2 linked regions of the Macaca fascicularis genome follow. The main gene of each other region encodes a partner of the protein of the gene in region 2 in a complex. Links are inferred from orthologs where the notes say so. Each region holds a gene or a part of one and is shown on either strand. Other genes may lie near its edges.

Evidence for each region.
Region 1: the proteins of CCKAR (region 2) and CCK are in contact, whole or in part, in a cryo-EM structure (PDB 7MBX), measured with the Homo sapiens proteins. The link is inferred for Macaca fascicularis from reciprocal best matches to the Homo sapiens genes CCKAR and CCK. Residues at the interface, in NP_000721.1 of Homo sapiens: Cys94, Phe97, Asn98, Pro101, Asn102, Lys105, Asp106, Phe107, Thr118, Met121, Gly122, Val125, Tyr176, Phe185, Asn194, Met195, Cys196, Arg197, Phe198, His210, Leu213, Leu217, Ile329, Phe330, Ala332, Asn333, Arg336, Ala343, Glu344, Leu347; in NP_000720.1 of Homo sapiens: Asp96, Tyr97, Met98, Gly99, Trp100, Met101, Asp102, Phe103.

What each region holds. Positions count from the first base shown.
Region 1 is NC_088376.1:105,094,825-105,098,759, reverse strand, and holds the start of CCK (cholecystokinin), read left to right. Parts: upstream 1-1,135; 5' UTR 1,136-1,202; intron 1,203-1,320; exon of another isoform or gene 1,321-1,381; intron 1,382-2,242; 5' UTR 2,243-2,244; coding exon 2,245-2,458; intron 2,459-3,935. UniProt on the Homo sapiens protein: This peptide hormone induces gall bladder contraction and the release of pancreatic enzymes in the gut. Its function in the brain is not clear.
Region 2 is NC_088379.1:25,621,653-25,625,805, reverse strand, and holds the start of CCKAR (cholecystokinin receptor type A), read left to right. Parts: upstream 1-1,353; 5' UTR 1,354-1,568; coding exon 1,569-1,947; intron 1,948-4,153. UniProt on the Homo sapiens protein: Receptor for cholecystokinin. Mediates pancreatic growth and enzyme secretion, smooth muscle contraction of the gall bladder and stomach. Has a 1000-fold higher affinity for CCK rather than for gastrin.

The DNA of each region.
Region 1 (3,935 bases), on a different chromosome or scaffold from region 2:
AACTCAAGCGCCAGCAAGCCGATTCGAACTCAAAGGGCTTCAGGGTGTAGACGACCACCGCGCACTGAGGGACTACGGGTCGGCCCGCTCCGGAGCCAGGAGAGTAACCGCGCGCAGGGAAAGGCGCACTGCAGCCTTGGTGCCTCCCTTCCCTCCACCGGACGGGTGAGTGACGACGGGCGAGGTCCTCATCTCCTGGCTGCGCAGCTGAGTTCTGGCAGGTACGGTCCTAGGGGTGTGAGTGTGTGGGCCCTCCGGAAAGGTGGGAGGGGCGAATGCCGTGGTCTACCCAAGCTTGCAGGGGTGCGGTGGGCAAGTTCCCCAGGACCCTCGCTGGCGCCGCTTGTCGGCAGCTGGGAACAGTGGGCGCCGCGGGTGGCGGTAAGTTGGCCAGGGAAGGAAACACATCGCTTTCCCAAGCCGGATTCCTCTGAGCAAAGCCAGATGGTGTCATCCCCATTTTACAGCTGCGTAAAGAAAGTCCCAGAACACCAACAGCCAGCTGTGGCCGGAGCCCTTTCACTGACCCGGAACACTAGCTCTCAGAAACCTGGAGAACTGCGAGGGCTTTTAATGCGGCTGAGAAGAAAGTAAAGACCCCGACTCCTCTCCTTCGAAAGAGCCCACACAAGTATGAAGACCAGTGCCTCGGACGCTCCGGGGTAGGGGGGCCCACGCCCCATCCCTCTCAGAATCGCGCCTTACTGACGCTCAGTCCCGCCCAGTGTCCACCCCCCACCCCCGCCCCAGTTTCCTTTCTGGACCCTCCGGTCCCCAAAGCGAACTAAGCTAGCGGCAGCTTCTCCATCCCAGGGAAGACTCCAAACTCCTAGGTTTCCCACCTTGGAGAGCACTGCTCTGGAATGCGCAGGGGAGCGGCAGCTGGAAAGGGTTGGAAGGAAGCTTCTCGGACCCAGAGGGGGACAGACACCGGGCCCAGCCAGGGAGGGGTTAAATCCGCCCCACTGGACCACCTCCCCCTCTCCCCCAGGAGCCACTTCAACCGGTTGTCGTCCCAGTGGCCACCCTCTGAGCACGTGTTGCTGCCAGTCTGCGTCAGCGCTGGGTAAATACATGACTGGGCGACGCCGCCGGGCGGGGCTATTTAAGAGGCAGCCGCCCTCTGGTCCTCCCTGAACTTGGCTCAGCTGCCGGGCTGCTCCGGTTGGAAACGCCAAGCCAGCTGCGTTCTAATCCAAAAGGTAGGTCCCTCGGTTCGTCAGCGGGGGATCCAAGTGTCGTGTGTCTTTGAAGAATGCTGTCGTCAGCTTTGTGCCCATTTCCATTTTGCTTTTCTATTTTCTGTGTCTTTCCTCCGAGAGCTCGAAAGACATTTCTTGAAGTCAGAAACAACGGTTCCGGGTCTAAAAGTGAGGTCTGGGTAGGTAGAGCTGCTTTAGAGGCTTTCACGCGCCGGCATACCCATTCGCTAAGATTCGCATGCAGATTGAGATTTGCTAGCTGTTACACAGCGGTGCTGGGGACGTTGCAATATTTTCTAATAAAATACCAGAGGGTTTTAAGATTCAAATTCATTTTCTAAATACTGCAGAAAATTTCGAGGCTTTACGGATAGAAATGTGAGGGTGTTTTATCCACTAGCGATCTAAAATGCACGGGGCTTTGGAAGCCTGAGTGCTGGGCACCTATTTCTGATTTTAAAACCTGCCTATGTTTTGCGTAGTGGCTTATTGCCATTTCCCACCTACACTTTGAGAAAACTTTATAAATACGGCTTTATTTATTGCTCCTACATTTTAAACTGTGCTTCTCTTTTTCGTCATTTACTGTATTTCCATATTGAAAGCTTGTTAGCTATCTGGAAAGGTGCTTTCCCTAGGGTTCTCATTTCTCCCACGGAGTCTTCCCTTTAGGATATTTTTTTCACACTATTTTTAATCTCGTGGGGTTTTATTTTTCTTCTTTCAGTTAGAAGAGAGGCACTCTGCAAACACTTCCTCAAACTTTAGGGAAGCAGAAAACATTCCTTCTGCTCAACACGGCAAAAAACAGGGTCTCTGTCTGCCCCTCGGCACTGGGTGTGGAGTTCCCAAAGACCAGCCGTGTGCGCCCGGGGGCGCGCGCCATGGCACTCGACTTGAGCCCTCGTGCTTGTGGCGGCCTGGGGAGTCTGGAGCACCTGTGTTTGTCCTAAGCCGGTTTCTGGGTGCCCTGCCCGCCGCAGGAGCTCTCGGATGCCCAGCCTTTCCGTTAACGCCCCTTCCTCCTTTGCTCCCTACAGCCATGAACAGCGGCGTGCGCCTGTGCGTACTGATGGCGGTACTGGCGGCTGGCGCCCTGACGCAGCCGGTGCCTCCCGCAGAGCCCGCGGGCTCCGGGCTGCAGCGGGCAGAGGAGGCGCCCCGTAGGCAGCTGAGGGCAGTGCAGAGAACGGACGGGGAGTCCCGAGCGCACCTGGGCGCGCTGCTGGCAAGATACATCCAGCAGGCCAGGAAAGGTAAGAATGCTGCCTCCCCATCCCTCACTTCTGCCCTTGTTCCCAGGCTCTGGATGCTGACCCTCTTCTCTAGCGCCGGCCTAATGAAGATGACCTCTCTCGGTAGGAAACAAGCAACATGGTTTCTGGCCGTCCTTTGTAGCAATCTGAGAAGGGGTATGGAGGACTTAATTTATAAGTAAGGGGACCCTTCTTGAAAAGCTTTCTTTGAACTAATTTTTAGCAATGTTGCTGATTAAGTTCAACACCATTTTACCAAGCCATTAAAAGATAATTATTGAACCCTAGGAAAGGGTTCCTAGATACACTAAATACCCTCTACTAAAAACGCAAAGAACCTGGGAGCCACCCAGATACCAACCCTTGGAAATCCTCTAGCAGGAAGGCGTCAATGCTGAGAATGCCTGAGATCTGGCTACAACAGTTTAAGAAAGCAGTGACAATGTGTCCATCTCCACCAAACCATGTAACAGAAGGAAAGAATCAGCAGCAGTTTTGTGTTCTCCTTGCAATGACTTACACATGATTACCCAACAAGAGAGGTATTTGTTTTTACTTTACTGTCGCAGAGATGGTCACAGTTATAGCAAGAGCTGAGCAAGTCATTTTTCTCAGCATCAAAGTCTTTCTCCAGGAATAAGGTGATTCAGCCCCTCACTAGCTGAGTGGCATGCAGGCAGTCCTGACCTGAGGCTAGCTTTCCCCTAAGCTCCTTCCAATTCTTTGTGTGATTCAGAGGGAGGCCCATTCATCTCTTGTGACCCATAGGAATCATGCTTTGGATTGCGGCAGCTTTTTTCTGCCAACTTTATCCCCAGTGGCACTAATAATGAACACTGGCTGTGGAGGAGTGTGCTGAACAGTACAAACACAGCTGGACATTAAAATAATTCAGCAGGCCAGGAGCAGTGGCTCACGCTTGTAATCCCAGCACTTTGGGAGGCCGAGGCAGGTGGATCACATGAGGTCAGGAGTTCGAGACCAGCCTGATCAACATGATGAAACCCCATCTCTACTAAAAATACAAAATTAGCTGGTTATGATGGCACATGTTTGCAATCCCAGCTACATGGGAGGCTGAGGCGGGAGAGTAGCTTGAACCTGGGAGGTGGAGGTTGCAGTGAGCCGAGATTGCACCATTGCACTCTTACCCAACAGGTGTTCCAGGGCCTGGATTTGAACCTTAACCCCTGGCTTGACCAGAAAGGGATAAGATGAAGAGCTTTGGCTCTGCAGAGTTCTCCTGTGGGCTCACATGAAGGGAAGACTGGAACTCTTTGACCCAGAGGCTTCAGAAGGAAAGAACAAATCAGTGATTTGTTGTATTTCTTCCTGTCTTTGGGAAATTGCCCCACCCACTACCTTCTGTTTTGCTTTCCTACTAATTAAATTGAAGAAGATAGAAATACTTATCACATGGAGAGAGAAAGTCTGAAAGCTTTTGAGTTCCTGCTGATTTTCTGCCTGAAAATAATTT
Region 2 (4,153 bases):
ATCACGTCTCCCTGCTTCACTTCCTTCATAGTACTTACTACCTGAAATAATTCTGTTCATTATTTGCTGACATGATAGAAAAGTGCCTGGCAAATGATTGACTCTCAGTGAAGATGTGCTGAACGCAAGACTTCATGAATGACGAGGAAATCTTACTAACATCTTTTGTAATAAGGACCCAGGTACCTATGTTCAAAAGTACCTCAATCCTTCTAGTTAACAAGGGCAGAGACCACGAGAAATAACACTGTGTTTAGTAGCAACTTAACAACCAGCCAGCAGTTCTATCCACAGACACACACCACCGGGCATGGTTCCAGAACTAAAAAGGCACTAATTGCTTTTCTATAAGGAGGTAGAACACAGTCCCTCCGTGTTCTTTAGGCCTGATGGTCTGCATTATCGGATCTGTTACCGTGTTAATTGTTCCTGTCTCATACAGCCAGTTTGGGCTTTCTTCTGCACATGTCTTGGATGGTGACAGGTTCCTATATAGAGGAGTACTGGGGAAGCCTGTGTGTGTGTGTATGTGTCCGTGCGTGTGTACACATGTGTGTATAAAAGCAGCCACACTCTGAGAATGGTTAACAGGCAACCAGGCTGTCTGTGCTCAGGGCCCTAAGACTGGCCCAGGAAAGGGCCGGGGGGGTCGGGGGTGAAGGTGGAGCGGGCTTCGCTTGCGCTCACTGCCTTTTCCACAACAGGAGTGCAAATGCTTGCCCAGCTGGAGTGAGTGTGGTGAACTCAAGTCGCCTTTAGGAATGGCTGAAAAAGCCCACACCTGGAAATCACTCCCTCCCTGCTCCTCCACGGCAGGTTGCATTTGGGAGACGCTTCAGTCATTAGAGAAATGAGCCGGGAGTGAGCAATTCACCAGCTCTCCAGCACTTGGTGGAAAGCAGCAGGCAAGGATGGATGTGGTTGACAGCCTTCTTGTGAATGGAAGCAACATCACTCCTCCCTGCGAACTCGGGCTCGAAAATGAGACGCTTTTCTGCTTGGATCAGCCTCGTCCCTCCAAAGGTAAGTGTCGGAAGCTGTTATTTTAATCCAGGAAACTACTGAGTTGCGGGAGAAATCAGCAAAGGCAAGGCTGATAAAAAAATATACATAACCAAGTCATTGTGAGACAAGGCTGGATAAAGTCATATGTTCAGAAGTTTGCAGAAGAGATTAACAAGCAGAATAGAGTCAAATATTCTTATTGTCCCCCATGGGAGAGTTGGGCATTCATGAATAGGACTTGAGGGAACAAAAGCAGGGGAGGAAAAGCTGAGTGAAGCAAGAGGGAGTACAAGTGTCAAAGCCTGAACTTACAAGCACAGCAGAAAAGGTGTTGTCACCATGCAGCCGTTTTCTTTTCTTGGGGGGAAACCAGCGTGAAGTGGTTACAGTGAAATCATGCTTAGCAGCCAGGAAAGAAAGTGATCACTGTTCACTTGAGGAGCTTTGTTCTTAAGAAAAAGTGGTTCCCTGAGTGATCCTTTAACAAACCAACCTTCTACAAACAAAATAATTCAGTCTCTGCTTTCCTCAGTTTGTTTCTGCAAAATGTTGTCAGGACAGGAATGGTGGGTCCAGTGATGTACACCCCGGTGAGGGGGGAAATCGGCAGGAAATCACCCTTGGCTTCGGTTTTAGCATTCTGCTCTCATCACCTCCATCCCTCCGTCTTGCTCCTGTTGCTGTCTGCAGAGTGGCAGCCAGCGGTGCAGATTCTCTTGTACTCCTTGATATTCCTGCTCAGCGTGCTGGGAAACACGCTGGTCATCACCGTGCTGATTCGGAACAAGCGGATGCGGACGGTCACCAACATCTTCCTCCTCTCCCTGGCTGTCAGCGATCTCATGCTCTGCCTCTTCTGCATGCCGTTCAACCTCATCCCCAGTCTGCTCAAGGATTTCATCTTCGGGAGCGCCGTCTGCAAGACCACCACCTACTTCATGGGTAAGTTGCTGCTGGTGACTCTTTCTGGAGCTTGCCCCAGACCCCACTCAGCCCCAGACCTTCCCAAACCTCTGACAATCACAGCAGAAGACCTCTGCTGAGGGCTGAATCACAGAACATTAGGCTGTGCACGGCTGTGTGCAAGGACATTGCTGCTGACTTGACGGTCATCCTTATATGTTCCCCGTAAGTCGGTCCCCATCATCCACGTTGGAGGTCAGTTTCTAAGAGTGAAATATATTGATAGGAAAACACAGGGGCAGTTAATTTTGCCTGATTCTATTTGAAGGAAAGAGGGACTTGCTTCCTTCTGTTTGAAGTCAAAAGTGACTTTAAGCTGCTCTATCCCTTTCTGGAAGCTGTTGACTGTGTCCTGAGCTATACCCAACTTGAGTCCTGGCTTCTAGGGAGAGTAAGGATTATGGAGGAGGGTTCTTTGTCATTGTTCCTCTTGTTTTCTTAGGGAACAGGGGCTATTTGAAAACCAGTTCTATCACAGTTCCAGATTCTCTTGCCAGGATTCACTTCTCAGCCTGTTCTCCCCAAAGCTGGGACCATCTCTGGCAAAGGGAGAGAGGTCTCTGCCCCTAGATGAGGAGTTGAATTTGCTCCTGGGGGCTGTGGGGTCGCTAAGCTGACCCTGATTGGCTGAGATATGTAGCTGTTTGCCTATGCCAAACAAAAATGATGATAATGAAAATCACAAGAGCTAAATTTTTTGTGCTTTTATGCACCCCATGTGGTACTAAGTGCTTTGACTTTCATGATCTTACCTTACCTCCCAACCACTCTATGAAGTAAATGCAATGATTCTTCCTTGTCTCATTAAGGAGGAAACAGAGGCACAGAGAGGTTCATAATGTGCCTAAAGCCACACAGATGGTAAGCAACAGAGCTGAGATTTGAGTCCAGATTAGTAGCCACACAGTGGTGAGCATGCTACCTCAGTTTGCCAACTGCTGTGGTTCTCCTGGAGTTGAACAAAGACACATTTCTTGGTCCCCTCTGGGTGCCAGATTGCCTAGTCCCTTGCCCTTTCTGAGAATTAGTTGGGAGAGGGGCAGAGGTGGGAAATAAGCAGGGAGTTATTTTTGTTCTGACCCAAGCCTTGAAGAATATGCAGCAGTGAGCTGGGCTAGGGTAGTCTTCAATGACCGGAAGGCTTTAAAAGTCTTTGTTTTTCCCAGTTGAGGAAGTGGGATTCCGCACTGACAAAATGATGATGAATTTCTGACCCTCGTGCCACCAAAAACCAAGAATGTGTCAATCCGTGTCCAAGTCCTCTGAAAAAAAAAAAAAAAAAAGGACGAAACTTACAAAGGACAAAGATCATTGTTAAATAATGAAGCAATAATAATAACTAGTGCTGTAGACATCCAAGGCCCATCCATATATATCTTATGGTAATACTATTTGGGAACCTTAACCGGAGAATGTGAACCGAGGTTTAAAACGAGTGTTTTCATGGTGGCAAAACATTCTGAGTGCCACAAAGTTGTTCAGTTTGAAATGTTTAATTTTATGTTATGTAAATTTCAACAGCATAAAAACAATTTTATTGGCCAAAAGAAAAGAAACATCATTCTGAAAGTATTTGCAATACCATAATAATTTTGTTGGATTTTTAATTCCAATAATTTAGGTTCTTCTCTTAATTTTGCAGTCTCCTCAATACTAATAATTAACATTGATTAGCTCCTAATTTGTAGCAACAAGAAAAAGAATGCTTGCCTGCCAGTGAGTTTATAGTTACTGAGGATCCATTACACAGAACTGACTCTTAGAGAGTTTTGGGCTATACTCTCGACTCTAAATGTCATCAACTCTTTAGGGTAAAATCCAGTAAAACACAGCAAATCCTATCCCCAGAACATGAGTTTTTAGTTAATGGTTTGGGGGTCATAGACTTCTTTAAGACTCTAAGGAAAGCTAGAGCCAGGCTCCCTAGAAAAATGACGTTTTTGGATATAGTTTCAGAGAATTAGTTTATATCCATAAGAATAATGAGAAACTAAGGACCCCAGTTTCAGGACCTCTGCTCCCAAATTTATATTAATTCGGAGGTTTAAGAAATCTTGGTAAGAGATATTCAGAAGAATTGACAGAATTTATAGCGGAAGGACTCTACAGGGAATTTTAAGGGAATAATAGGACATTTTAATAAGTATGCATATACAAAAATAATAGAAATTTAGCTTTTTGGACA